Linked DNA regions of Lytechinus pictus. The protein of the gene in region 1 interacts with the protein of each later gene in a biochemical or structural test. Links are inferred from orthologs where the notes say so. Each region holds a gene or a part of one and is shown in the gene's direction. Other genes may lie near its edges. The genes, in order: probable citrate synthase 2, mitochondrial; alpha-crystallin B chain-like.

Evidence for each region.
Region 2: the proteins of probable citrate synthase 2, mitochondrial (region 1) and alpha-crystallin B chain-like form a complex in vitro, tested with the Homo sapiens proteins (3 studies listed by BioGRID). The link is inferred for Lytechinus pictus from reciprocal best matches to the Homo sapiens genes CS and CRYAB.

What each region holds. Positions count from the first base shown.
Region 1 is NC_087257.1:28,092,518-28,108,619, forward strand, and holds the start of probable citrate synthase 2, mitochondrial, read left to right. Parts: upstream 1-7,829; 5' UTR 7,830-8,023; coding exon 8,024-8,071; intron 8,072-10,225; coding exon 10,226-10,276; intron 10,277-16,102. Other genes in the region: uncharacterized protein LOC129274671, read right to left, coding at 1-709, 1,157-1,621. UniProt on the Homo sapiens protein: Key enzyme of the Krebs tricarboxylic acid cycle which catalyzes the synthesis of citrate from acetyl coenzyme A and oxaloacetate.
Region 2 is NC_087246.1:44,744,629-44,760,463, reverse strand, and holds alpha-crystallin B chain-like, read left to right. Parts: upstream 1-7,825; 5' UTR 7,826-8,211; coding exon 8,212-8,580; intron 8,581-12,661; coding exon 12,662-12,910; 3' UTR 12,911-15,485; downstream 15,486-15,835. UniProt on the Homo sapiens protein: May contribute to the transparency and refractive index of the lens. Has chaperone-like activity, preventing aggregation of various proteins under a wide range of stress conditions.

The sequences.
Region 1 (16,102 bases):
GGTGAGAACCTTGAGGGAATTCATTTGTTGTCACCTGACCTGACAAATCCACAACCTTGATGACACCATTAGCATCTAACATGGCTAGTTTGTGTCTGCTCATGACTGAGATGTCTATAACATGTCCTACATCTTGGAAAACGTGCCTTTGATGACCTGCAGGATCTACAATGCATACCCCACTTATCTGGTATCCCAGTGCCACTGAACCATCTTTCATTGTGGCAATTGCTGTTACCAGATCACCCAACTGCCTCTGAACTTTAACTGTTCGCACCATTATCCATCTTCCTGGTTGCACTAGCCTGCCAACATGGCACCAACACTGATGAGTTTCCTGAGTTCTTTTGACAAACTTGAGTTCTGGATCTAGGGCACCAACCTTTACATGGGCATTCTGTTTACACCAGCTCTGCACCTGAATAGCCTTCAAAGATTCCTCAAGATTGCTTTTCCACTTCAAGATATCTCCTGGATTCCTTTCAGCTATTACCTTTGATTCAGACATGGTTATCCTTGCAAGTTTGGCCTGAATCTCCAATCCTTCCTTTCTTGATGATTCTAGATTATCAATGCCGGATTTCTCCAGGGTCTTGATTCTTTCTAGCAGCAGGGAACGTTTCGATTGCAGATATTGCGTGAAATACTTGATTGCATCATCACAAGCTGCTGTAACACTTTCCTTGAGAGCCTGTGTATGAAGGGGTACCTATAAAATATAAGAATTGTGGAGAGAAGGAAACAAAAAAATGCGTTAAAAACATTGTAGTCCTTTGATCAAATTACATTCGTGGAAATGGGTGTATTAATATATATTGTCAAGAGTGTTTCAGAATGATTCAAAACCTTGTTTCTTACAATGATACAGATCATGTTGATGTAACCCGGCAAATAAAATTGTACTGTGCTTGCCAAAATGTAAATATTAATATCAAACATTCCCACTTTCTATAGTTTTACTCTTTCTCTCTCTTTCTCTCCATTTCTCGCTTCTTAATATATACTCATTTATTTTTAACGAAACTTAAGGGTAACTGGTAGACTGAAATACCATTCTCTTCTCTTTAATTAACACTTTTAGGATAAATCCAATTAACGAAGAAACAACATTCAAACAATGCACAGAAATTAGAAAACTGAAAGACTAGTCACTCACCTCTTCAATCTTCTTCTCAAGCTGAGTAATGGCGTCACCAACTGTATCCAGCTTCACCTCTGCTTTGAGCAGGATGTCCTCCGCCTCTCTCTGTATCTGACCTACAGCTTCAGACGCACTGATCCATGTATGACCCTGCTTCTCATGCTCCAAGATCACACACGATGCACAGATGAACACATCACAGTCTCTGCAGAAGAACTTCTTCCACTGACCATCATGCCGTTTGCAGCAGCCAAAGTCCAGTCCTTCCTTGGCATCAGCGTCGGTATGGTCTCCTTTGAAAGCACAGGGTGTCCTATCATCATGAAGTTTGGAGGCAGTTAATTTCCAGGCAGTCGATGGTCTTGTTCCAGTGTGGCCATCTGCATCTTCATCTTTCAAGTTACTGCATGGCCTTGTCAGAATCTTCTCCTCACTGCTGTCCTTTTCTCTGTAGATTTCAGAGATGTCACGTGGCTCCATATTATTTGGACCTTCTTCAGTCCCATTGGATGCAACTTGATTGAAAACATGGACTGATTCAGAAACTATTTTTATAATTATAAGCTGATTCACTTTTAAATCAGACGGATCTCTGATGACTCATGCAACAACGTGTCTTGATGATTGGCAATTGTTCTCCCTCCATGGCCATTCTTTGGCCGTATTCCTATTTTTTTACAAACTGCTTAGCTGATGTTAATTAAACAAATCACCGACAGACGCATTATTTATTCCATGAACTTGGAAAGTCTAAGTGGGTAATCAACCAACACTCGTTGCCGATCCTTGCAAACCTAAAATTGTTACTGTACGATTGTTTATATCCTGAACTTATAGGCCCATAGCTTGTTGATCGAAGTTTGCATGCGTGATTATGACAGGTTGAAATACCTTATTATGGAAGTTTATCTACACATAATTTCCCTGTTCATGAAAGGTCACTTCCTGGACCTTCTTTGATTGTTAGTCAGATCACAGGAAAATAAAAAAGTCAACTTAACCGCACTGTTTCCGATTTCCACAAAGAAAATGGTCTATATACATTCCAAAAAAATAACATACTCAATTTTGAATAAATACATTATCAAAGGGACGCTTTAGTTATTTACTGAAATAAGAGACTTTATAAACTCTATCGGAAAAAAAATGAAGAAGATTCTAGTCCAAGCGAATAGCCAAATGTATATTTTTTTTGACAGGGTATTATTTTTTTTACCGTAAATTATTGGGTCTATTAAGTTCCCCTCTAATGGGGTATCTAATCATGCGAATAACATTTTAGTAGATTGTTTTCGAGTGTAGATGTGAATATCCAAAACTACTAGGGGGACAAGACGTCCTGATGTGGAAGGCTTTTTTTCTTCAATTTAATTGTAGTTAAAGTTACTATACAGGATGTTAAACGAACCCGACCTACATGTATATAGCTCCGTTTCTATATATTTTTTTCCTTCTTCCCCTTTTCTTCTTCATCTACATACTTCTTCCTCTTCCTCTTCTCCTCCTTCTTCTTCCTCTCCTCCTCCTCCTTCTTCTCCTTTCTCTCTCTCTCCCCCTCTTTCTCGATCTTTCTCTTTATTCACATCTTTAAAAAAAAAGCGATTGGGAGTCATTGCCCCTCCCCACCCCGTGCCGCCGTCCTAAACATAGCTTATTTCGGCTCGGTCTCTTCGCTTTTACATGCAGGGTAACATTTTTCCCCGTATGCCTTTTCTCGTTCATCAATAATACTGTTTTATATATAATCCGTATTCCTTTCCTATATACAAGCTCTTTAAATTATTTTATCAATAAGTATATACATTTATTACAAATAATGTGTCTCTTGATTGTTTGTGTTGTTTTGAGGTTGATTTCTTTACCTCAACGAGTATAAAGCTTGTAATCTTTCGGGCTGGATCGAAACGGACCTTGGAAACAAATAGAGTACATAAATGTTTCCAAAACAATTTCTTTTAATTATTATTAATTCGAGCGATTAACAGGTTGTTTGCTATGTGAATTATATCAGGTGCGGATCCAGCCTTCGCCAATAGGGGAGCCCGGATTTTTTTTCAGCCATATTTTCCCCGATCGGCCGCTCGAAGATGATTTTCGGTTTCTTTGAAGGGGTAGTCCTAATAGTCAGTTTTTAGCTTTATTCTTATCGATCAACATAAATATATAATATCATAATCCTTATTTATATAATGTGAGCGCGAAGCGCGAGCTAATTTTTTTGGAAATCTTATGTATTTTTTCCTTAAACATTCTGGGCAATGTCTGTTATCCTGAAAAAGATGTGTATGCAACTAAATAATTACTACAAACGCGAAGCGCGAGCCGAACTGATGGAGAAGCTACCTGTTAAAGACTGCATGCAGTTTTTTGACATTTTTACCCGAAGAATGGAAATTCTAAGCACTTTTTATATAACTAATTTAAACAATCAATGCGAGCGCGAAGTGCGAGCGGAAAATTTTGAGATTAAAGTATACATCCGAAGAATCAAAAGTATTTTATAATGACTTTATGTGGTCATCATTGTAAAGGGGAAGTATTACTAATCAGATATATAACTTCACTTTTCAAAATAGTGATCAGAGATTGCAGAAATCAGCTCTTAAAAATGATTTATATTCATGCCATATTTCTGCCTTCCACCGGTCCTCTTGCGAGCTCCAGCTGAGTGACGTCACACAATGAGCAGTGAGCAGCTGAGCTGACAGCAGCCCATTGGAGACGATCTTTCCAATCAGCGTTTTTTGCTCTTAGAATTGTTTATTCCTCTTAAGATTGGTCTTGTTATATAGATAAAAGTTTGAATTTACTGAACAGTGAAAAAAAGTGCACATTTAACGTATTTTGGTAACCGATATTTAGCTTAGAATTTTTTTTTAAAGAAATATATGTGAATAAACAAAGCATATTTTCACGTAGAAATCACACTTGCGTCACATTAATGTTATAATCAATATAAAGCATAGACATTCTTCTTTATGACTGAACAAAAATTATGAAATTTCATTGAGTAGCAAAGTCAGGAACCACAAAAAAACACGGCAATATCCATCGCGAAATGACTGAAATTGCAGTTGAGTTGCCGAAGCATTATTAGGAAACAGCGGCGAGCGGACTTTCTTTCATATATCTTTAAGACATCAATAAGACTTTTTAGTGACATATTTGTGTATAAAAAGACAAGACCTTTCCATTCATATATAATTTGTCTATAATCATCACTTTCGTGAATTTTCTTTGGATGTATACTTTAAGACCTGCTGAACGAGACACTATTCGTATTTTGTAAATCATGAAAAGTATGAGTAATTGGGGATCTCCCTTATATTAATAATGCGAGCGCAAAGCGCGAGCAGAAAAATTGTATATGCGTTTTGAACTGATCGAAAAGGTACCCGTTAAGAACTGCCACTTAGCCATGGAGACGTTACGTATTTCAACAATCAAATCATGCGAGCGCGAAGCGCGAGCTGAAAATTTTTGACATTTCTACATTAAGAATGGAAAATTGTAATCAATTTTTTATAATCTTGAACAAGATAGCTATATAACTAAGCAATTGATGCGAGCGCGAAGCGCAAGCTGAAAAAATAAATCGAGATTTAGACCTAAAAACTGGACACTCTATTCATGTTTTGTAAATCATGAAAACTTAATGAGTAATACGGGATCTTTCTACATTAATAATGAGAGCACAAAGCGCGAGCAGAAAATGTTTGATATTGTGATCTGACACTGGAAAATGATGTCCTTAGGACATGTCATCATATGAAAATGAAAACTGTCTTCCTATTCCTCTTGCTAAGCTCGAGATGAAACAAAAGTGCCAATTCAATTATTAAATAAATATCTTATTCATTAATGCCTAACAAGGGCGCGAAATCTGATGATATGATGGCCTGAAATCTGGACATTTCAATCACTTTTGTAATTATAACTAGGATGCATCAGTTAATATATTATTAACCATTAATGCGAGCGCAAATTGCGAGCCGAAATTTTTTTATACACTGTCATGAAAAGGGGATTTTACGTAGTTTGTTGTATAATCAATATTGAGACATAGCTCGCCAATCAAAATGCGAGCATGCAGCGCTAGCTGATACGTTTTGACAATCAGACCTGAAAAGGGATATTTTGAAAACTTTATGGAATACACGAAAATAATAGGTATCTGGTAAATTAAAATTTGCAAGCGCGCAGCGCGAGCAGAAAATGTTAATATTCAGACCATAAAACTGACATTTTTACAGAGCACTTTTTTAAAATCAATTTGTAAATCACACAAAATAATGAATGTTCGATTTCTGAGATGAAATGTATATGTTTTGTATATTGACTTCCAAACTTGATAGATATTTAAATTCCATATTGAACAATATATGTAAATCACCTAAAAGGCAATGCGAAGCGCGAGCGAAAATTTTATTTAGTGACATGAAAGATTTTCTTAATTAGTTTCCAAGTCTTCCCCTCATCTTATTTTATTCACTCGTCTTCTTCCTCATATAAATGTCCCCCCCTTCTTTTTTCTCCTCTCTCTTCTCTTCTTTTTCTTTTTTTCTTTCTATCCCCTTTTTTCTTTTTTTGCTCCGCCAATAGGGGGGCCCGGGCCCCTCGGGTCCCCCCTGGATCCGCCTATGTGATAGTTGTTTGATTAAAGGCTGTTAAGTATAATTAAGGTAATAGTTTCATGGCATAGGATGAATCCGTTGCCAAGAATTACTCATTTTTAAACATATTTGATTCTTCGGACATATCGGAGATACGGTATATTAAAAAATGACTAAAATGAAGACTGTATAGATCGATGACTCCTTTTCTCCGATTTGCTGGCTTTTTAGATAACAATTAAAGAGCTCAAAAAAATGATTCACTTGTTAGATTATATGTTTTAGAATATTAAGAAATAATTTTTGTCTTTTCCTTATCAACGGCAATAATGATGTCACCCCCCCCCCCTCCCAAGGCCCCCAGGTGCTGGGATATCCACAACCCACGCCCATCGTATATATGAAAATTGATCATCAGCGATAATTAAAATGAGATTCGTCATTATAATATATAGGCTTACGCGAACCGCGAGCGAAATATTGAAGGTTTGAAGGTTTTATTAGAATATCCACATATCGCAGCCATTTAGACTGAATTGCATTGGATTTACAAAATATAACAATAAAATGATAGGATGATATAGCAATCGAACTTTATAAATATATTATTTACAAATAAAAATACAAACACTTTGGATAACTTGACAGATTAAGGAAAGGGTGACCAGAGTGTAGAGATAATGGGAAAAGGAGATACAGTAGAGTAGGGAAAGAGGGCTGGGGAAGATGAGGACAGAAGAGATGAGTATGAGAGTAGTAATACACAGATGTAATTCTGATTTAAACCAAGTGAGAAACTGAAGAGTGAGAAACATAGTTGGTTAAATTAAGAAGAGTACATGTACAGTATATCAAAATATAAATATAATTATGGTATAATGATATGTAAATTAACTCTCTCTCTCCCCTTACATGAGTGTATTGAAACGTATATGGTATACGGGATTTTGGTGAAAATTGACTAAGAACATTAATACAGCAAATAGGATGATAAAACATACTAGTTATCAAACAAAACATTACTGAAGAATTTGAGTGCTAGGGGTCTGAAGTTTACATGAAATAATAAAAGCAGAAATCTTCAAAAATGTACCGCATTTTAAGCTTAAACAAGGAAAAGAATAGTATACAGTTGAATTTTGGAATGAAAAAGAACAAATGCAATCAATCAATCAATCAAAAGAACATATCAATTGAACAAAGAGGCGGATATGGAAGAAAATATCATAAATGGACCATTCTGTAGACAATGATAAACATATATTAATTATATTGTCATTAAAATAATAGGGCACCTATTGATAGGCTTAATTTATTTTTGTTCTTAATTCTTTTTCATTTTCTTATTAATTAGTCTTCTTCTTGATCGATCTAGCGATAATCACATTATACCTAGAGGAGGTGCACATACATACACTCAGGTCTGAGTTAATTCGATGCTGTGAAAATTATACCATTTTTTTTCAATTCAATCAGGCTGTTATTTACTCGCCCTTCAATTGGGAAGCTCCCATTTCACGAGATTTAGGGAATCAGTCAAATCATGCAGGATTTACATCACTGACGTACAGATAGGGGCACTTGGATCCCCCCTCAATGGGATGGGATCACTAGCGTAACTACGGGGGGCAGACTGCCCCCCCCCCTGACGAGTCACAACCCATGCAAGGGACATATCCCTGCCCCCCTGACGAGTCTTGAAGCCCTTTTTCTTTTTTTTTTTTTGCTTATCAATTTTTTTTCTGGTACGGAATCCTTTATTTGTGATTGAAGACCTTTTTTTTTTTTTTTTTTCTTTGCTTGTCAAATTTTTTTCTGGTATGAAATCCTTTATTTGTGGTTGAAGACTTTTTTTTTTTTTTGCTTGTCAAATTTTTTTCTGGTATGAAATCCTTTATTTGTGGTTGAAGACTTTTTTTTTTTTTTTTTGCTTGTCAAATTTTCTTGGCGGACGAATTTGCCCCCCCCTGTGGAAAATCCTAGGTACGCCACTGGATGGGATCATTATTTTCATCACTTCTCCGGCCCCTCGGAGGGCTCGAAGCTCCCTTTTTCACCCCGACCCTGGCGCGCCCCTCGGAAATCTAGCTCGCGAGATCGAGATCGCGACGGATCGCGAGCAGCTATCGAGCTCGTGATGACCCGGCCGGATGACCTTTAAGAATGCCGAGAGCTTCCGGTACGCTGCTGCAGAAAACTCGCCGGTGATATTGGACTGGATTAAAGTCCCCTTTTACAAGTAATCTGGCGTTAAGTTCAACCTAAAATTATGTCTCTCGTCAATATAGCAACTAGGAGATTACTTCTACATGCCAAGGTATGGTTTATATCGTGTGTGGTTTTTTTTAGGTGAATATTTCGCGGTGATCATGATTTGTGAATGAGGTATGGCAACGCCGCCCTGACGCGACGCGGATTCATGCTGAATACCGTCTTATCTCAGAGTGCGAATTTCGTGCAGGCTCCACTCCACTACCGCTACACTACGCTCCACCTACCCGGGTAGGTGGAGCGTAGACGTAGTGTAGCGGTAGTGAAGTGGAGTGGAGCCTGCACGAATTTCGCCCGAAGTAAATACAGTCTCTAGATAACCGGTACTGGACATACGGTATGGTGAGACTACCACATATCGACCACCTCTTTTGAAACCGACCACCTTGCGCGTGTTAAAATTATTGCGTATTATTAGGCCTACAAACAATACGCGCGGGAGAGTAGGCACAGTGTCCGTAAAAACGGTAAGAATCGATTTTACGAGAAAAAAAGAAGCAACAAAAAGTAAAAATTTAGTAGAATTAATCAAAATTGTATTGACCAGACCCAAACCCCGCTGAAAAACCAAGAAATCCGATAGGAAACGTCTTTAGAACAAATATCCGTCGTCAATCGTCGAATCATGTGCCGGAGCTCGCAGTGGAAGTAGTGAGACGATAATTTAGCATGTTGACATCATAGAACTAATTTTGAAAAGTAAAAATATTTCACCACTGCGGCAAGAATCGGCCGTAAATTTAGCGTAACGCGGGTGCTCGGTTTCAAAAGACGGGTGCAAATGAGCAAATGTAAAATCGTCGTATTCGTTGTTCGTCGATATATACGCGGATTGAATCGGAGTCGCCGAGCGAAACATGGGATTCTGATCTGCTCAATTTTCTGCACAAACGAGACAAAAACTGGGTAAAATTGATAAATATTTTCGCAGATACGATGCTTAGAAGATTAGGTGGTCGATAAGGGGTAGTTCCAACCATACATGCTGTGTGTGTGATGAGAATGAAATGAAGTGAAGCGAGAAGGGACACTTGTTTTACTGACTATTTTCTGTCTGGATCTGGATGTATACGATGCAGGGCCCTCCTCCTGGGCATAAATGCATCGGGTGAGAGAGGGCGGAGTGAGGATTAGAAGAAGAGAAGGTTCTGTCAATGGCCTTGAATGAGCTTGTCGATGTTGAGTTGATGACAGCGTCACTCAGGTGATTCCACTCAATGTCATGTTATGATACTGATAGTGGATGGGAAGATCGAGTTCCTGTATTGTTCAGTTCGTGCTCTGATTGGATTGTAGCACTTGTTATTATTTGTCACTTGACTATCTATAATATTTGTAGTGTCACAGTTTTCAAATTGTGCATTGTGTGGCACGGATACGTCTGTGACTAAGTCTAAGCAGAGCTAAGAATTTTGTAAGATAGTCACTGCACTGAGAGCGAATGTAAAGTCAAAGGCCCTAACGTTATGTGTTCCACATATGTGTTCTCTCAAGAGAGAAAAATCAAAGAAACATAATGCTAAAAATATGAATATCGGATGTAAAATAGGAAAATTATGACTTTTTTTGAAGTTTACATATTTTTTCACAAAACAGTTAAATGCACAACTCATTGATAATAATGAGAGAGTCAATGATGTCCTTCACTCACTATTTCTTTTGTTTTTTATTTTCTGAATATACAATATAAGATTTTTACAGATTTGACAATAATGACCAACTTGACTGAACCAGAAAATGTTAAAACAATGGTATTTTGACATGTTCGGAGAGAAATAAAAACTTTGTTTCACATGATAATGCAGAGAAAATGGAAGTATTCATATTTCATATAATAAAATACAAAGGAAACAGTGAGTGGGTGATGTTATCAGCTCTCTCATTTGCATACTGACTAGGATCTGCATAACTATTTTGTGAGATTAAGCGAAGCTTTAAAATGTCAACTTTCTTATTTTACACATGTACATCAAACTTTGAAGAAATTTTCAGTGTTGATCTTGTTGGATTTTTCTCTTTTTATTCAATTTTTTGTTGGGGTGGACTTGTCCTTTAAATTTAGTCTTACTGTAAAATCTTCTAAATTGATTTTGTCATTTTTGTGATTGTTGATTTACATGTATATAAAACTTTATTTGGAATTTACACTGTATGCTGAGATTCCACCATTGATTTAATGATTTTCTTCTTTTCCTCACAGAATGCTCTACCTGCATTTGGTGCTGGGGTCAGAAATGCATCAGAGTCAACAGTAAGTAAAAATAGCTACATCACTAGGGGGGGGGGTGCACACCTGATCTTATAATGGGAGACATGGCCCTTACTCTGAAGTCAGGGGAGCGTTTCATGAAAGGACTTGTCGGACGTTTTATCCGACAAGTACTGTTTTATCCGACAGTTACTATGGTAACGGTGACTCTCAGCCAATCATTATCAAGGAAAGTTGTCAGATCTGACAAGTTGTCGGACGAAAATGTTGATGAAACGCTCCCCAGGTTTAACTTTATAGACCATGGTCTAACTCTGCTAAAATTAAGGAAAGCCAAAAAAATTTCTTACATTGTAATTTGTATGTTCCTTATAGTTACTATGTTCTTTTTTAACTCATGGATGGTGAAGAAAGCTATCTTATTTATCCTTCCGAAATAGTGAAGAATGATTTAAGAGAAAAATGAGCTGATCCATTGAAATTCTACTGTTAGATATTTATGCCACAATTTGCTATCCATAGTTAAACCACAACTTTAAACCAGAATTTGAATTAAGCCCGAACTTCAGAATACGGGCCTAAGACTTTAGGGCCTGTAAATTGTCATGCCTACGCCTACGGGAGGTGCACTGAAGACGTGACTAATGGGGTATTGCAAGAAACTTGCAATTTATCTTAAAAGTCAGTATGAAGTAGATCCTGATGGTTTTGGGGGCGTGGGGTGTCTGGACACTTTAAAATTTTGAAGTCTTCTTTCTGGCTTTGGATTACAAAAAAAAAATATGAATTTGATAGTAATCTACTTCAGTTTTGTTCTCTATAATATTGCTTAACTGTTTATCAAAAAAATTGATGGAAACTTCCTCGTTAACTTTTCCAATGGCTGCTTAAAATTGATTGTCCGGACACACAACAATTGGGTATACAGTGTACCAAATTCATTTTAAAGTGATGCATTTCATTCCAATTTGCAATTGATTTGATGTTCTGCTTCTTGCATTGATTCAGTTAAAATATGTCTATCACTAGCAAATTGGCATCTGAAATATGCAATTGATTGCAAATAAATCTTGCAACACTTCCTAAGACTTCAATCCAAATTACAGGTCATCTATCCTCTGAAATGAATCTTACAGATTTTTCTGTTGAGGTTTAGCCTATATTATTAATAAATGCAATTTATAGGCGCAATGTCCATCTCAGTAGAAATGCTCAAGGGAGCGTTTCATCAATATTTTTGTCCGACAAGTTGTCAGATCTGACATCTTTCCTAGATTTTGATTGGCTGAGACTCCTGAGAGGCTCTGTTGCAAAGGTTATTGTTGGATACAACAGGATTTTTTTTGGATGAAACGTCAGACAACTCATTTCCTGAAATACACAGTCACAGGTTTGGGGGTGGGCAAACAGAATATTTTACTCAAATCATTGATAAAGTAAGTTTAATGAGAGAATTTATACAAAGGGTTCTGTTGATATTCACGTGACATTGTGTCATGTGAATATTAACTGAACCCACATTAATGGATATTTTTTTTTACCAATGCTACACTTTCTTTTTAACAATTTGGTGCAGTAAAATTAAAAAAGAATGAATAATCCAGTCAACTCTGTCCATTGATTCTCAATATTATTGTTTGTTTCGTACTGAAATGTACTTTACAGATCTATTGATTTAAGAAATTTTCTTTCTTAGTCTTAATCTTCAAATTTATGGCAAAACAAAAACTATTTTTGCATTGTTTAGAAATACAGTATATTCCGAGGCATACACTGTATTTATAGGGCAAGTCCAAGAATTTGTGGGCGTTACGTATGGGACATTTCAGAGGCTTTAATGACCTGAAAAATAGTGTTTAATGACTTTGATTAGATTGAATACCCTCATGATGGTAGACATCTACATGTAGGAGAAAAATAATGATGCAAAAAATGGTGACAAATGACCTTGACCTTTTAGAGAGAAAAGATGTGCCGTTACGCATGGGACGCAGAAAAAAGAAAATTTGTAAAACATTTTTTTCAAGTTGAGAATTCTCTGAAAGTACTTCATTTGACAACTTGTAACTTAGTGTGATAGAAGTCACAACACTATTGTATATCTAAGGCAAGTTTCATGCCATAAGCCCAAACCCTCTAATTACAGACTCTAATTAAACAAATTAATGACATGTTACGTATGGGACATTTTGTCCCCATAGAGAATGTACACAATTTTTCCCATAATTTCAAAAATTAAAATAATTTGAATTATAAATGTAAATAACAAAAGATTTGTTTTTCTTTTAAAATGTTCTATTAAGACATATTTGATATGACTGAAAAGGAAATTAGCCATTTCAACAATTTTTATTCTTTTTTTATGGTTTCATGAATTTTTTATGTATTTCTAATGTTTTTTATTTTTTTTCATATTTTTCAATTTTTTTACAATTTTTTTGCTTTGATTGTTTTCATTAATCAGTATTCATAACAAATCAGTCTTTAAAGCTAAATGATAGTAGTTGCAGTAAACACTGATTTCGTGAGAAAGTCTGTAAAACCAAGGTTAAATATAACTATATCATCGTGGATCTAGATCTGGTACAGTTACATAAACTGAACTCTGTGAAATCATAAAATCTAAGCTGAAAAACGATCACACTGAAGATCGCCAACACAGATAGGCACACGTGGGACAGTATATTATTATTGCTGGAATAAAGACCCGACGGAAGTGCCCGAATCCGCGCTTATTTTGCTTATTTCTCAGCAATTACACAATTTCTTCCAGAATCCTTTGGCACATATTTTTTATTCATACAAACCGACACTTGGGTGGTCATTATATTGGATTCTTTAAAAAGTCATTTTGAGATCGTTACCAAAACTGGCATTTACCTTTAACTAAAGAAAAGGTAAATAATTACTTTTTTTAGCACTCTTGAAATTTGTTTTTCTCCATTCACTTTGTACACAAATCTCCCCATTGACATTGTTTGTAAATGTCCCATACGTAGCATGTTGTCCCATACGTAACAATTTTTTAATTAACTTTTGATATTTTTGAAACTTTTTGTGGTATAACATTTTCATACTTAATAAATTAGAACTTCCCAGAGATGCAACAATACAAGTATTGTATTATGAGAAATAACTTAAAAAAACATCCTCAAAATGTTACGTATGGGACATTCCATCCTTGGACAAGACCTAATTTGCATATTTAATTAGATGACACCACTTTTTTTTCCCCAAAAGTAATAAGATGTTAGGGGGTCCATGTCCCACCTATGACTAAATCTTACAAGTTTTGTTTTGATTTTCTATGAGTTTTTATAATTGTCCCATACGTAACGCCCATTTTACCAATTATGCAAATTAGGTGCCCCAAATTAGCATAAATATGCATATTATCAAATTTTTTTAATGAAATTTTTAAATTCAACATTTGGGCTTTCTTACCCCATCAAAGATAACTATTTAAATTAAAGATGAAATTTTGCCTTCTAGGTTGACCTTTTCTTGGACTTGCCCATTATAATATCATAACCCTATCTTGTATGAAACAGAATAATGATAATTCAATAAATTGATATTCGTAGGTGAACCCTAACTTTTTTGTACAAGATTTGCCATAGTCTAACACTTATACACCCTGAAGAAAAGTTCGTTATAAAAATAGCAGAAAAAATAATTGAAAAATATTGGTGAAGGTTTGAGGAAAATCTGTTAAAGATGAAGAAAGTTATTAGAATTTTATTTTTAAGTTTTGGATTTATGACGTCATAAACGAGCAGCTGCCTCATACATTATGTTATGTAATTTAAAATGCATGAATTTCACTTTTGTAATGGTTCCTGATGACTTATGTTTGTTTTCTTTTCATGATCGGATGTGAATTGATTTGTCTATTGATATACATGTACAAAAGGTACAGTAAAAACCAATTTCAATTTTCAGAAAAAATGACATTGATATTACCATTTGCTATACATGTAAGAATGCTGCTCATGACATCACAAATCAAATAATTAAAATTCTAATAACCTTTTAAAGATAGATTTTTCTCAAACCTTCGGCAATATTTTTATTTTTTCTGCTATTTTTACACTTAACTTTTTGTCAGGGTGAACTTCCCCTTTAATTGTACATGTGCCCTACAGGACCTACTCCATCATATCGGCCTATGTATATGAATTATTAGGTGTAATCAATTACCAGCATCTTTACAAAGAAATGCAATGATATCCATGTGAGAAGGGTCTGGTTTGATGTGCAAAGGGAACCCATTGTGTCAGCCTGCAGGTGTGAAAACTGCATACTGTACATCTTTTTATTTGAAAGCCTTAGAGATTATGGAAACTATTTTTATTTGCAGTTATGAAATCTGCATAGGTTTTGTAGTTTTTCACTTAAAAGGGAAAAATATACATGTATTTGTCTTGGCTTTTTTCCTATCTAGTCAAAGAAAGAATGATTTCCTCCAAAGTATTAAAGTTAAGTTAATTGGCCAGATTTTAAAGTATCGAGCAGAGTTCAGATTTTTTTCCCCAGTAATTGAAGACCTTGGACTTTGTTAAACGTCAAGTTCACCCCAGAGAAATGATGATTTGAATTGATGAAGAAAAAGTCAGACCAACATTATGCTGAAAATTTCATCAAAATCAGATTAAAATGAGAAAGTTATGACATTTCAAATTTTCGCTTATTTTTTCACAGAACAGTTTACACGTATATACAAAACTCAGTGACATTATAAGTAAGAGAGTCAATGATGTCCCTCACTTATTTCTTATGGTTTTTTTTGAAAATTTGAATTATTCTTTTCAATTTTTACAGATTTGACAAGAACATCCAACATGACTGAACCATAAAATGTTAAAATAAATGTAATTCCACGTGTTCATGGAGGAATAAGACATTGTTCCACAAGACAATGAGAAGATTTGAATATTTTATACTAAAGAAAATGGGAGTGGATGACATCATGAGTTCACTCATTTGCATACATGTATGTACATGTACTCACCAGGATGTGCATATGACTATTGACATTGTAAAATTAAAGGTGAAAGAAAGTATTTGCAGCAAACAATTATTTAATGAGAAAGTCTTTGGAATTATGGTTAAATGCCACCAAAATTATCATAGCTCTACTTGTACATGTAGTTCTGGTACATTGATTGAAATAAACTTGTCTTTGTGAAATCATGAAATCTTAGCTGAAACCGATAATTCTGATGAGCACAAAAAGGCATATGTGAGACAGTGTATTATATTGTTTGGAAAAATGCATGCACCCAACATCTAATGGAATTCCTTGCTTATATTGCTCATTTCTCAGGAATTACATATTTTTATTTACACGTACAAACACTTGGGTTGTCATTTTATTGGATTCTGTTCGAACTCATTTTGAGATCGTTACCACAAATGGTATTTATCTTTTAGCGAAATTTTCTTATTTTACATGCGATTTTGATAAAAAAATTTCAGTGATAAATGTTTGTTAGATTTTCTCTTTTTGTTCTAATCAAATTTTTGTTGAGGTGGACAGTGGACTTGTCCTTTAATAGGGCAATGTATTTAATCTCCAAAAGATTAAAAGTCAGTATTATTAACTTTAATGTTTATTTTTACTGTGAGCCCATAGGAGGCTTCTGTATTTTGCTGTGTGCATGCCAATCATTGACATTTTGTTGCGAGTGTGCAAGCAAATGAAGTGTCTGTGGGCATGAATGCCCACAGACACTTTGCATAAAGGCCTCCTTAATGCAAAACTCAAACATCATGCTGCACAGTGTTGACTGAGATGGACTTAAAAATGGACCCAGCATTACTTTTTATCATGTGCACTATGTACCTCATGTATTATAATGTGTACAT
Region 2 (15,835 bases), on another chromosome or scaffold:
TCTAGCACAACCATAATTTAGGTTTCGCGCAAACATAAATAGGAAAAGCTCCTGGCAAAGGTCTATAACGCTTAGAAAGGATTAGTCGAAATAACCAATATGTTGGTAAATATATGTCCTTATAAAAAAAAACTGTTGGTTAGGATCTACCAGATATTTGAACTTTACCTTTAAGTCGGAAAAAGCTTTCAACACATAGCAATTCTGTCTTAATCATATTAATCATCTGACCAGAGAAATGGCGGATGTGATGGGTATGGTAATGGGGTGAGGTTGAGGAAGGGAAGAGGGGGGGGGGTACTCGATACCCTTATCATCCTTCCCGTTGCTCTCATTGAAAACAACATAATTAATTCAAACAGAGTTAGAACATGCTTCATTAATGGCAGAGTGAGGTTAATTGCTATAGTCATTGTAAGCCATATCATGCCATACGGTTTCCTCATCTTCAATGCCAGGAGGTAAATTCATCATTCAAGTGGACTAACTCAGAGGGGGAACGGGGGACACGCCCCTTTTGAAGCAGTTGCCCCCTTTTCTTTACTTGTTTTCTTGCTTGCCGGCTCCTTTACGGTAATAAAGACTTCTATTTCGGAGTGATAAGGTTTTGGGGGTACTTTTGCTTCTCATTATTAATTTGAGAGAAATTGACAAAATTGTTTGTACTCCGTGTGTGAATACTGGATCCGCCCCTGCCTATTGCCCCATGAAACAACGATGAGACATATATAAGTCACCTTCGATTGTAATGATAATAGCAGGCTTGTAGGTAATACTGTTGTGCATTTCAGTTTTATGTAGGCCTATAATATGTTTCGTTTATTTTTGGATTAGTTTTTATTAACATTTGATAGAGGTTAGTTCCTCCATTGTCAGGTATCATTATTTAGTGGCCGCGATACCATGGTCCGCGTTATTATTAGGAAAATCATCGTGGATTCCGACGTCATTACCATCATATGTATTTGCACCAACATCATCATCATCATTGTCGTCATCATCATCATCGTCGTCATTATCATCATCATTGCCCTACTCATCCACCACTTCCACATCTTCGCCATTATCACCTTCACCATGGTCATAAGCATCATAATCACCACCACCATCATCATCATCATCACTGATAGCCCCATTTGTCATGATCGTTACCATAAATATCTTTATTACACACTGATCATTATCATTGTGGTCACCATCATAACTCTCGTGGCCTTTCTAATCATCATCATAATCATCATAATCATCATCATTATCATCATCATCCTCAAAATCATAATCATCCTCGTCATCCTCATCATTGTCATCGTCGTCACCACCATCACCATCATCATTATCAACAGCATCATCATCATCACTATCATCGTTTTACCACCATCGTCGTCGTCGTCGTCATCATCATCACCACCACCACCATCATCATCAACAACAACACCAACACAATGACAGTCACCTTGCAACATTACCTTCACTGTTGAAAATAATTTAAACAACGCTGTTTACTATGTGAATAGCACGGTAGTTGTTTAAAAAAAATTAACAAGTGTTTAAAATCTTAAACAACACAGTTAAATTCAAATATTTAATTATCAATAATTCAAGCATGGTTGTTTAAGATTTTAAACACTTGTTTAAACTGTTTAAACAACTACTGTGCGATTCACACAGTAAACAGCGTTGTTTAAATTATTATTTAAATTATATAACAGTGTTGTTCATTATTTTTTTCATCGTAAGGAATGTTTATATCATGTCCTATTTTACCTATGCCTTCCTCCTTCTCTTTCTGTCTTCACTGCTCTGTTTACTCTACACCCCCATCTCTCCCCCTATCTCTCTCTCTCTCTCTCTTAATCTGAAATCTCTATCCGGCATCTTTTTTCTTCCTCATTCTTCCTCCCCCTTCTCCATCGTCATCATCTTACTACCACCCATGAATCCTCGAATCCTCAGATGTACTGTTATTATATCGATTTCTAATTTGGATGCCCTCGATTACCGATATATTTCACGAGGGAACATTGGCTGCTTCGGGAACATCTGATTATAATGCAACATCGCAAGTAGCAATGTAAGAAAATATTTTGAAGTAAGGGCTATAGTTCGCCACGGCAAGATCAATGGCGGGTGTGCGGATTCATTCTTGTCATGTGTAGGTGTTTTTCTCTATATTCTAATAAATGAAAAATAGAGAAATAGTAGGTTGATTATTTTTTAGGTAGGTCTTACTCTATATTTTTTAAATAGAAAAATCCTCCATCCAGCTCTCTCTCTCTCTTTCTCTCTCTTGCTTCCTCCTTCACTCTTCTTTCTCTCCTATCTCTCCCCCTCCCCATCCCCCCTCTCTCTCTCTTTTCCCTCTCACCCTCTCTCAATCACCATATCCATACATCTATATCGTCTTTAAGTCTTTATCTGTTCCTCATCTTCCCTTTTTTCTGCATTTCTTTATCCTTGTTATTGGCAGCTCCATTTCTATTTCAAACCACACGGTGGAGATTAACGAACGATAAAACCTTGATATTATCCTACCATCTACCCTAATTTACTACAAAATGATCACAATATGTATCAGACTCTCCTTTCCTAGAAGCAATAAATCCATCCGTCTCAATTTCAGTCTATATACTTCTTGGCTACTTTATCATATACGTGATGTCAATTCCCTGAACTGGGAGATTTTCTGTATAAAGGAGCTTTTGTCAAGGGACGTGGACATTTATTCTTAGTCGATCTGTATCTGGAGGTGTTTATTTAGTTTTAATTCCACACCGACTACTATGTCTGTTTGGAGATTTAGATTTAGAGGAAATGTGTGCTCGATGGTGATCAAGTGGTAGATCGTCGGACACCCCTATACATGAATCTATGTTTTTAATGAATTGGGTGAACAGGCTGATAGCCAATTATCAACAAATTCGTCTGCTCTGTATAAGTCAATCTGTCTTTCTGTCAACTTCCCCTCTCTCTGTCTGTCTGTCTGTCTCTCTCTCTTTGGAGATCGGAATTACTTCTTATCTTAATATGAAGATTTTGTTAGGCAACACTCCAAAGTACACTGGTTGTGTCATATTTCCTAAACTGACCCCCTTCTCCCCCCCCCTCTCTATCTTTCTCTTTGACGATCGAAGTCATTTCATATCAACAACACTCCTACGTACACTGTTTGTTTCATTTCTTGATCGACCCCCCCCCCCCTCTCGCTCTCTCTCACACACACACGCACCCTTCGACAATCGACCATAATCACTTCACATCTTATGAAGATCTTCTTTAGGCGCCAATCCTACGTACACCGGTTGTCTCATTATAATCTTGAATAATGATCTACTCCCCCTTCACTCTCTTCCCATGTCTCTTGGTACCCCCTTCGTCTTGCCCCCCCCCCCCTTAACCATACCATTTCCTCCACAGTTATTATTTTCAATTCGCTTGCTTTACGACACCATTTCCTGAAATTGATGTGCCTTCGTTTCGATTTGCTGTACCAATCATTGCCATGAATCGCAATTTTTCCAAATAATTTCCTTCCAGTTTCCTTTCAATTTCCCTTCTTCATCGCTGTATATCTATCTATCTCACCAGCCAGAATGCACATGTAAGGTAGGCTGAGACCCATTCAGATTATGTGTTCTAGTCATGCACTTTGCACCACGATTTACAAGAGGGGCCAATATAAGGGCAGTGGAGAGAACAAGACTGATTTGAAATCTTTAGGGGCGATTGAAGGGGTGCGAAAGCTGACAATGCTGGTAACTAAATACATATAGTCTCTTCACGGTGAACTAAGCTGTGCAAAAAGTATTTTTTTAAATGCCGCCTTGTTGCCTTTTTATGAATTAAAGCTTAGGCCCTATTGAGAAAACTAAATGGACAAAATTTACCGCTTTCTTGTTATTTTTAAAAGGGGCTATACATGGATTACAAACCTGTCAGTTGTTCACATTTTGGGGGACAAACACCGGGGCTCAGACTTTTGTCCTAACGTCATGGTACACTCTGTCATTTATATATATATATATATATATATATATACATGTATATATATATATATATATATAAATGTATATGTTAAAAGTGCAGTTCACGGGTATATTGTTAATATGACAAATTAATTTCTTCATATTGATTCTAACACTATTAATCAATTTGTATCAAGATTGCATGTTGGTCGCAAATCAACCCAGTGAACCTTTCAAACAAATTATTTGCATATTACATTATAAACTGCTGCAATTAAGTTTTGCTTTGTCATGTTCGTATAGACCTATACTCTTTAAAATCACCCTGGCCCTTCACTCAACACTTCACTCCACCATGCCACTGACGATAACGACGGACTGTGTCATATGATATGGGTCTTGTCACACGAAGATTAGCCATTGATTGCAATGTTGATCTTTACGATCGTTTGCACTGATCACTACGTAAAATCATATGTGTACATGAACGTTACGATCAATCGCCAAGCTTTGTGTGACATATTCATGGATGATGGAAACAGAAGCTAACTTTCATTTGCAGACGTTCGTTCTGCTTGCTGGGCTCTCACAGACCAGAAGAGAGGCTCGAAAAGAGGGATACAGTGAGATATCGATATCTACATTTATTCGCGCCCAAAGCTTGGGAAGAATACATTCAGATCCGACGTAGATTACAGCATAAGTACAGCATTAATCATGTGAAGTGTACTGCTCTGCCTGGGGAAAGCTCTTCAGACTGGTTTTATTGGCTCTACCCCGAGACTTAGAGATGAGAAATGTTTTTTTTACAAAGTATACAGTAATTAAAGGGGAAAATTAAAGGCCTTTACTCTGAGAATCACTCACATTCGTATGAAATTATAGGTTTAAAAGCTCGAGGTTTAGATGAGAATTTCCAAGTCCTTACAAGATTACCACTCATTGTAAACTAAAATAGAAAACAGCGCATATCAATATTATACAAAAAGGTGTAATAAACATTTCAATTCTAAACACTATTTATCTTTATTGTTTAAAAAAATATAAACATAGAAAAATATAACTTTGCTATAATTATCAATTTAAAAAAAATCTTTTTCTTTCTTTTTATTATCAAACTTTACATGGAGACAACAATTAAGGTGAGGTTTCATTTCTTTTTCAATTTTATCAATATGCACGGTTACTATCAATTTCATGAAAAAATAATATAATTTTCACATATTTCTATCCAATTATTAAATTCGTTTAATTCTTTCAATAATGCATACATTTAATCATTTAATCTTATTGCAAATTAGGATTTTTTAGGTTTTATTATTTCATAGCCTGTTTTCTCCTCTCTCTATATTTCAAATCCTTTTGTCTATCCCACAATTCCAAGTATTAATAATCATAAAAGTAAATAAAACAAGGTGGACAAATTTTCTTAAGAAACGAAATGCGAATGCGATTTGAATAAGGAATGTGGATTAAATATGTTAAAATGTAATAAAAAATGTATGTTTTTGAAAGTATATTTCAAACCTGAATGATCCACAATTTATATAATTGTATGAATCATTTATATCAATTTTGAATCAATTTATAAATTGATGAAAATGATTTTTTTATGTCACAATCACTAATTAATTCACTTTTTTATTCTTGAAGTAGGGAATTATTATGATTATTTATACTTTCACATGATACCATAGCGAAGAAACTCACCTCGGTCACTATTCACCAAATAATTCAAAATTTCACATTTCCATAACTGCGTCGTTTACCATCCGATTTTGAATAAATTTTCATTGCTTTGCTTGTTTGATTCCACTCTATTTATATATTTCGATTTTGTCAAATATGTGTATGTGTAAACATTTTTTTTGTAAAAAATAGTTAAATAGTTAAAGTGATTTTTTATGTCAAAATCACTTATTCATTCACTGTTTTATTCTTGAAGTAGGAAATTATTATGATTATAATTTCACATGACACGATTACGACGAAACTGAAGGATGGGAGCATCACGTCGGTCACTATTTCACCAAAATAATTCAAAAATGTTAATTTCCATAGCTGCGTCGTTTTCCAACCGATTTGTTAATAAATTTTCATTGATTCCACTATATTAATTCTATCCGAATTCTTCTCAGCCTATATAGGGTGTCCTTGTAAAATGAAATGAGGAATCATGGCTAATAGAAAGCAAATAGTCATTCCATCACGAAATATCTATTGGGCGAATGCTTGGCGCTTAATTTCACTTCCCGATTGGGGAACATACCCGACAAGAAACGATTCATATCCAGGATAAACATGATTAATGTTTCCTTCTTGATGGGATTTTTTCAAGAGATTTATATGAGATAGTTAAAGGCCCTTTTATATAAAAAAGACGGGTAAATAAAGATAACATAGATGTTACTGATCAGAGTACCCCTGACCGCGACTTCTGTAGATTTATATCTTTAAGTGAGACACGCCGTGAAACAGACTTAATAATGGATTGTATATAATAGTAAATTTAAATTTGCATAATAATTATGTCATGATATAAATTGGATAAGAATGATTGCGATAATGAATACTTTATATGGTACATTCCTTACCGTTTAGTGCGATGGTAATTTTGTATTTAAGAGTATGTCCCCTTCAACATTGATCAGGCTCCAACAAAATGTATGTGGAATGAATGTTATGCACGTCTCATAATCGGATTAGTACTGTCCATGGAATTGTAACGATTTCATTCCTCCAAATTTGCCGAGAGGTAGAAGGCCAAAAGAGAACCCTACTATCAGTACGGCATACCTCTATACGGGAGAGGATGTATAATGCATGGGCCGCGGCCCCTGTAATGGCGTGTAGGTATTTGTAGCAGCCTCGGGTATATGAAGTGATTTCAGTAGAGGAACATCCCCTTCTTATATCCCCTCAAATCACCTCTGTATCGAAGATGAAGCTTCTTTCATCCGACCATAACACCACTCTACCAGCGGCGGGTTATTGGTAATGTTTATCAAGGCGTGTAGGTATTTTGTAGCGGCCTAGGGTGGATGTCGGGATTTCTGGAATCTGACACGGTTAGTCTATATTCCGTTCAGTATATTGACATGCTTATGATAGATAGGACCATCAGAGAGCTGTGTGTTTAGGAGTGACATGATACAATCGACCCCCTTTCTATCCCATTTGTCGGAGTCCTCTTGACTCTTTCCCCTTCTCTCCGCTCTCCCCCTTTGTATAAAGCATTACACTAGTGACGTCACTCCATTCTAATTTTTCTTTTAAAATTGTATTCCTCCCCCTCTTTTCCCCTTGTTTTGTCTCCGTTTCACTCCTTCTAATCTTCTATTTCACGCTCTGCTCTTCATGGTCTTCTCCTCCCCCTCTCTCTCTCAATCTTTCTCTCTCTCTTGTTTGCCCCCTTCCCTCCCTGGTACCACAGTTCTCTCACTTTAACACATACCCCCATTATGCTACAATTGTCTTAGACCATGTAATTGCAATCCTCGTTTGATTCACAATGATTCACAATCCATTAGTGTAATTGCATTTAAAAGCACCGCTATTTTGTTCAACAAGTATTCTCTCTGGAACGAATATACATTTTCAGAAATAAAACAGGTTGGTTAATAATAATTATAAACGTTTAAATGTTGGTTACAATGAAATAAGCGAATATAGATTTTTAATTAACCAATATTTGATACAGGTTCATAATTATGCTAACCAACATGATAGGCCCGTCAAAACATTTCTGAGACGGTGTGACATAGATGTACGGATAACCATTATCATTCCCCGGTATTAATTTGCACCTCGACGGTCGCCCCCCGGTCCCCTTTCTGATGCCTGATGTCAGGTGGATGGAATTCATTGCATGATCTAGATACCAGTGCAGGGTAGGAGGGAATAAAACCCAGCTCCAGTTGTAGAGAGCTACCGTTAACACACCCATTCTCTACATCAAGTGCCGGTCGCTTCTAATTCCTCTTGCTATCCGGACCAACTATTTCCTTATGCATCTTGGAGGACCTATATACTTTCGCTCTAGTTTTGGGTGTTCTGAACATCTCACCAAAGGGAAACAATTTGAGTTTTATTAAAGTTTATTTATGTATTTTGGACTTAAGAACGATTATACCACGTTTACACTACGATTATATTACGATAACGCTACGAGCACACTGTAGTTCAAGTTCTTCTGTCCATAATTCCCTTTGCTTTCGCAATCCTGGAGCCCGATAATCAAAACTTTGGAATGGCTTTACGACGAGATCCTTACAATTATTCTTACAGCTCTCGACGTCGATTCACCGACGACGGCGGATGGGATCATCAACCAATGCCTAGTCGACTCGGTCTCGAGCAACGCTTCGGCGACGCCGTCCATTTCGAGGACGACTTCGGCGACTTCCCGTCTCACCCGAGTTCTTCGCAGTACTACGTGACATCGAGGCCGACGACGGCGATGGTGCCTTCGAGGAGGATGGAAGTCGCCAGCATGCCTCCGATGAGGATGGGGAGGACACCCATTCCCGTGTCGACGGGGGATGTCATGATGACGGATACCGACTTCAAAGTGGCTGTCGACGTCAGTAACTTTGACCCGGAGGACATCGAAATCAAGGTAAAAGGAATTGATGACCCTCTTATTTCTCCTGGTTTTGGTGGGTGTTTAATAAAACTGTTGATAAGTGACGAGCAACTTTACGAATAACTGGTGATCCTTTCTTGTGGTATATGATAAACACCAAATTTTCATTGATGTTGAATTAGCTTCTAAGAAAAGATCACCAGTCGTTCTTAAAATCGCTCGTAAGTTACGAACAGGTATATGAAACACCTATCAGGATCACCGAACCATCCTTGTGACTCTATCCCCTTCCCCCCAAAAAAAATTACCAAGGGGGAAGAAAGGGGACTTTAAACAAAACGGGGCCTTGGTCATGTAACTCTTAAATTCAATAATCATATTTTTCATGCAAGAATGGACTTCCCCTTCGGGACGTCTTGCCCCTTTATCAAAATACCCCTGGTGCCGCCCATCGTGTATACGAGTCTCATGTGTCTTTGTTTGATTGGATATCAGGGGCCGCGGAACCGGGGGGGGGGGGGGGCTGGGGGCTTCAGTTCCCACTTTTTTTCTAAATAGTGTACAAAAACGAAAAAAAAATGACCATCTGATTGTGATTTTTTTGCATGGTCAGCCCCCCCCCCCCACTTTCAAAGCCGTTCCGCGGCCCCTGGATATTATGCATGTTGTGTGAATGCCAATCATAATCAGAAAATTATTTCCCATTATGGAAAAGCTTTATGACGTGTTACAGAAAAAATTGAGACCCATTTTATTTCTGTTATAACTCATATTTGTGGGAAAAAATTATAACAACCAACATTTGAATCGAAATAAGGAATCTACATTAAATAGGTTCATGTATCTTCAGAATGTGGACAACTGTCATAGATTAAAGATGACAATCCTCAAAATAATGCTTTATTAAATGAGATTACATGTAATATTCATGGCGGTCACGTATGTATTTCTTAGCTTTCTCCATAGCAAATCATGCAAATCTACACAGCACATCAATTTAATACTGTATGATAAGAAGGACATAACACCTGAAAATAAATAGGCCTCTAATATGTAACTTTGTGGTTGGATGCCTTAAATTTACAAGTGGTTTCATGGCAATGGAAATAACTTTGATCCAAGAACATGACAAACAATAAATAAAATATTTTTTGTTAATAGTATAGGTTGGTGTGGACTTATATTCGGCCGGGTGAACTAGTTAGAACAGCACTCACTTTAATATTTCATTTCATTTCATTTATTGGTTTTTGCAACATTTTTCATAACAAAATTCTGGACAAGAAAATACATATCTGAAATTTTACATCAAGATAATGAACAATAGTTTTGTATATAAATCATCAAATATATCATACATAAATGAAAAATATTAAGTGGTATTTTCTGTTACACAATAAATAGGATGGTTGCAAGGGTCTTCACAAAAGCAAAGCTTGAAAACGTAACAGCCCTGGAAAATAGCCAAAATAATTAATATCTATTGTCATAAAACGTGCAAGTGCATGAGGGACTGGGAGGGGGGGGGGGGGGGCAAGGGAGATGCTTGGTCCTTGGCATGAAATGTTAGAAAAAAACACGTTTTGTTGTTTGATTTTAATTTATACATGTTCTAGATAAAAGTAAATGTCTAATTAAAATAACGATAACAATGATAATGATTTTCTTTTTTTTATTTGTTAGGTATTGGTTTAATTGCAATTCTTTTATAGTTCGTTTAAAGGAATAAAATGATCTTGTCAGCTTGAGTGAATCTGGCAATGCATTCCAAATATCACTATATCAGGTCCATGATGTCTTAGTGTTTTATGTGCAAATAGTGTCCTGGGATTGTTTAAGTGAATATTATTGCATGTTCTTGTTGGATTTGAGTGTAGATTGTTATTATATGAAAATAAATCCGTGAATCGATCCGCTATTACATTAATGGCCGTCCAAACTACCGTAGACCGCAATTTATCACCATACTACCAAAGTAAGAAACTCCTCCTCACTCCCACACCCACACCCATGTCAAAAACAATCCCTCTCTACAAACTTTTCACGTTACCATGCAATACTACAAGTTGTATTTCGAACTTGAAGAGAGGGTGTTTGGGCACACACTAACTGTTATTTTTACCGTGTTGGTATAACCATGGAGGTAGAAAGAAAGGTATAACGCACCTCTGTGACTCGAGTTGACGCCGCCACCTATTTAGGCTATGTACATTTATTTTGCGTAGAAACAAAGTCAAGGTCATTAATGCGTTTTGGCTTAATAGGTTGTGTACACGTGAAAAATAGAGCATAATTATTATTTTCAATTTTTGAAGGGAGAAGTAAGGAAAAATGACAAATTAGATATAGGCTAGTATACATGTTTTGTATATATATTGTTGTACGGGATAACTCCTGGTCTTTGGATGTTAATAATTACTTTGGAGTTCTATGAAGCATTTGTTTTTAATAAAAAATGGATTTAACAAAATCAATGACAATAAACGCATACAAATAACAAGGGAAAGAGAAGGAATATGTAAATGGTCAAGTAGGCCTAACCAAACTTGAGGGTGGATTGATAAAGAAATACATGAGAAATTATGACTACTTTTGCATGACGGTTTTCAAAAATCTCAAACGGTTTTCAAAATCTCAAAGTATCATTAAATACATAATGATTTTCTATTATTTGTTATTTCATATTTGGGGTGGTGAAGGTTGGAGATCGTGTTTAGTAGTAAAGGACCATCCGTCAGTATCCACTTTCATATACCTCGATTGTTACGTGCTGTATCCAACTTTGATGGAATTTTCGTGAGGGCAATGTAATGATCCCCGCTGATTTAATTGCATGGGGGCGAACATTCCTATACGTGCAGTCATCAAACTAGAATATTCTTGCATACGTTTCGGTGTGTGTGTGGGTGTTCATTCGGAGAAGGTATTTTTAGAAGACGTCTCCCCCGATATATCGTATGGCTATTATGATCACGATGATGGTGCTTGCGATGACGATGATGATGACGATGATGAAAATGATGGTGGTGGTGGTGATGATGATGGTGATGATAATGATGGTGATGATGATAATGATGATGATGATAATGATGGTGAAAATGACGATGATGATAATGATGATGACGACGAAGATGATGATGAAAATGATGATGGTGATGATGATGATGATAATGACGATGATAATGATGATGAAGATGATGATAATGTTAGTGATGATGGTGATAATGATGATCGTGATGATGTTGATAGTGATAATGATGATGAAGTTGATGATGATGTTGATGGCGAAGATGATGACGATGATGATAATGATGACGGGAACATTGGCGTATAAGCCTATATTGGGGTTTGGGGCCCGAAATATTCCACGACCAAGAGAAATAAAAAAACAAAATGTTGGAATATGACATGACTTCCAAATATTGCCCCATACACAATGTTCAGCCCTTATTTTTTGTTTTTGGCTCATTACGTCATTGATGACAGTGATACATAATAAAGCAATGAATGAGATGCAAGATGGAATATGCACAATAAACACGCTGTTTAAAATGTTTATACGATGCTGTTTACTGCATGAATTTTCAACACTTTAAACAATGAAGCTTAATTTATCAAAGATTAAATAAATTAAAGAAAATATATATTTTTGTTTAAACTGCTATAAAACAACTTCTGTAGACTTCATATACTAAACAGCCTTGTTTGAATATTATAATTAACGTCATATATCTTTATTACAAAAATGTGCCTATAGGTGCTTCGACTCAGACCATTATATTGAATTGAATTGAATTTAATTTATTACCAACTATTACTGTCAGGTACAATAACATGGAATAGTACATTACATATAAACACAGCATTTAGTAATTGGAGCTAACATAATAGCAAGGTGCTAGTCGAGGTTAGCCCCAAATAATGTCATTATCATAGTTTAAACAATAATATTAACCAAATCTCAATATTGTACATCAAATTCAGTACTAATTCTACTTATTACTGATGCAGACAATTGCGATCATTTTTAGTGAACATAAAATACACTATTTACAAGAAAAAATATCTTAATCTGTTGATACCATTTTTTTTCTATCACCCCTCCCCCTCCCAGATCGTTGAAACCGAACTCACCGTGCACGGCAAGCACATGGAAAAACAGGACGACCACGGCAAGATCTCCCGGGAGTTTACCCGTCGCTATACCCTCCCACCCGATGTCGACCCTACCACTGTGACGTCATCACTGGGCCAAGATGGCATCCTGGCTATCCAAGCTCCCCGCAATCCTCCCAAACCAAAGAACCAAAACATCCCCATCAAGGTTGAGAGTAAGCCAGCCATCGGAGGGGCTAAGAAGTAAAATCACCGAAAGTTCTGGGGCCCCGTTTCATAAAACTTGTTATAATAACAAATTCGCAATAACAGTTTAAAGCAACTGGAATCATACAATATTATGATTGGCTGATAGTAAACTTGTTATAGACATTGTGCGTTTGCTATAATAACAAGTTTTTATTTTATGAAACGGGCCCCTGGTGGTATTATAGTCAAGCCACCAGAACAAACTCCAAACCGATTTCACCCCAGCTGGTTACAAACTTTAATGTGCCATGAAAATAAATTTTAACGAGATGGGGAGATATGTTACCTCGCCATGTCGACTTTTACAGAGTCTGTTGTATGTCGACATGGCGAGATACGTGATCGACGTTTACTGTTTACTGGGCAAGATTGTTATCTCGCCGTATCATCATATCGCCTTTTCTGGGGCTGACTTGACAAGATCTCGCCATGACGACATATAATTTTTTTATAGGACGACTTGTCAAAATTTTACCATGCCAAAATAAACCTTTTTGTAAGTCGACATGGAGAGATAACGCATTTCCATGTTGACATACAACTTTTGTGTGTCAGTTTTCACAAAACAACATATCTCGCAACATAATGAGTGTATTAAAGTCGACTTGGCAAGGTGACGTATCTCGCCATGTCACTATCGGGCCGACTTCGGTTTCACTGATGTGACCGTATATGTTCCCAAAGTTATGTTACACAAAGCTTTATAACGAATGCCGGTAATAGCCCATAAAGTGTAAACATATAGTCCCAAAGTCGTACCGGACGGTGTAGTAAATCGTTACTGCGACAAAGGTAATTTCACTAACAGAAAATATTTATTTTACGTCTCTAAATGAGAGATCGCAATATACAAAAGTGCTAATTGATATCTGCTTATTCAGATTTTAGGTCATGCGATTAAAACCATTGGAGAACTCGATGGCTTGCCATAAAACAGTTGTTCGTAACATGTCATTGTAACTTTAAAACCAGCTTTGTGAAACACCTCCTGCATGGAGCACCGACTTGTAAAGAGTTGTGATCGATCGATTTAAATCGAATTAAAATTGATATTGATCTCAAGTTGTGTTGTTAAAATATAGGAATTGATAACAATCCCGGTTTGTGTTTGATTTAAATCAATAGCAACTCTACGCAAGATATAGGGACATGGTGTATCATTAAGCACCTTCTGTGATATATTTTCTTTAATATTTCGTTTCTTTAATTCACATGGTAAGCCTATATTGGGACAGGCGATCGGCCTCTATAACATTGCATTTTTTATTTTTTAAGTATTGTACAATTTTGTTGTTAATTAGCAGAGTTTGCTTGTTTCTTTATTTCGATTATAAATGGCAAATTCCTAGGCTTATCAAGAAGCAATCATTAAGACCCTGTTAAGGATTAGAAATTCTGTAACTTTAAATTGTTTTACAAAGATGTCAAGTAAAATTTTTTGTTTGCTTAATATTGATTTCTATTTACAAATTCATAGATAAATCTTCTGTAAATCATAGCTTGACTTGAATTTAATTTATGCGTCAATACATAAATAAAATAAATCTTTGAATTTTGTCTTCCATTGAGTAAGATCCAATTTCAAATCAAACCGCTTTTATTTGGCTCCGAGCTATATCATTTATCACTAAAAGTTTACACAAAAATAATTTCACAAAATCATGTGATCTCATTGCACTGATGCGGTAGGCCTAAGGCCTACAAAAAACCTTAGACACCTTGCACCAATTCTAGTTGAAAGTAACTGAAATGCATATTTTTAAAATGAATTATGTTAGAAGTTTGAATGGATGATTTTAGGAGATTTAAGAAATTATTGTTTATAAAACAGATCAGCGCTATTCAAATCTGAATATTTTTTTCATACACTCTTAAAACATTGGGTAAAAATGCTCCATGAGGGTAATTATGTGTCCAACTAAAATTTGGCATTTGTTTTGGGCATTTTTATTTATCCATTGTGATGAAAATTTTGCCCATTCTAAAGTAATTGCTGCTTATTTTTTTAACCTTACTGGACAATATGCTTCCCGCATTGGGTAAAATGCTGCCACAAATTGGTTGGACACATAATTACCCTCGTGCTGGTTAAAATGTTACCCAATATTTTTTACAGCGTATAGTGTAGGATGTAATTGGCTGTTACGTAGTTATGTTTATACATGCCTACTCGTCAATAGCCTAATATTTACACTTAAAAGTGATTGGTCAAAATAATCAAAGTGTTTGGTGTGTGTGGAAATTAAACATTTCGAAATGAACTGATGATTCCCAATAATTACCATCTAAATCATTGATCTTCTTCTCAATGATTTTGGCTGGACACATGCATTCACCACGTCATTATTCGTTTATACACCAATCATTTCAAGAGTCTAAAAGTGTAAACGTTTGGTCTTTATCTTCCGTAATAACGTAACGCCTATTATTGTAGATGTTTGTGAATATTAATGTGTCAAATATACTCAGATTTAAAAGTACAATTTATGTAATTTCTTCCTTATTGCTTATAGCATTTCGTGGTTCTTTTGCAATAAAACAGTCAAAATTGGACAAAGTTTTGATCGAAAATTAAAAATTGAACTGTCGTTATTGTCATTTTGGGGGGTTCGTTTAAAACCGAAAAGCTTGTATTTCTAATCCTGTGATTTTTTTGGACCAAACCTTGTCCTTGTCCCTTAGATCTACATTCACTAGCGTACCTACGGGGGGGGGGGGCAGGGGGGGGCACTCTGCCCCCCCCCTGACGAGTCAAAACCCATGCAAAAACGTATCTTTGCCCCCCCCCCCTGACGGGCTTGAAAAACCTTTTTTGCCCCCCTGACGAGCTTTAAGACCTTCAATGCCCCCCTGACGAGCTTGAAGACCTTCTTTTTTTTTTTTTTTTTTGCTCGTCAAATTTTTTGGGGACGGTTTTGCCCCC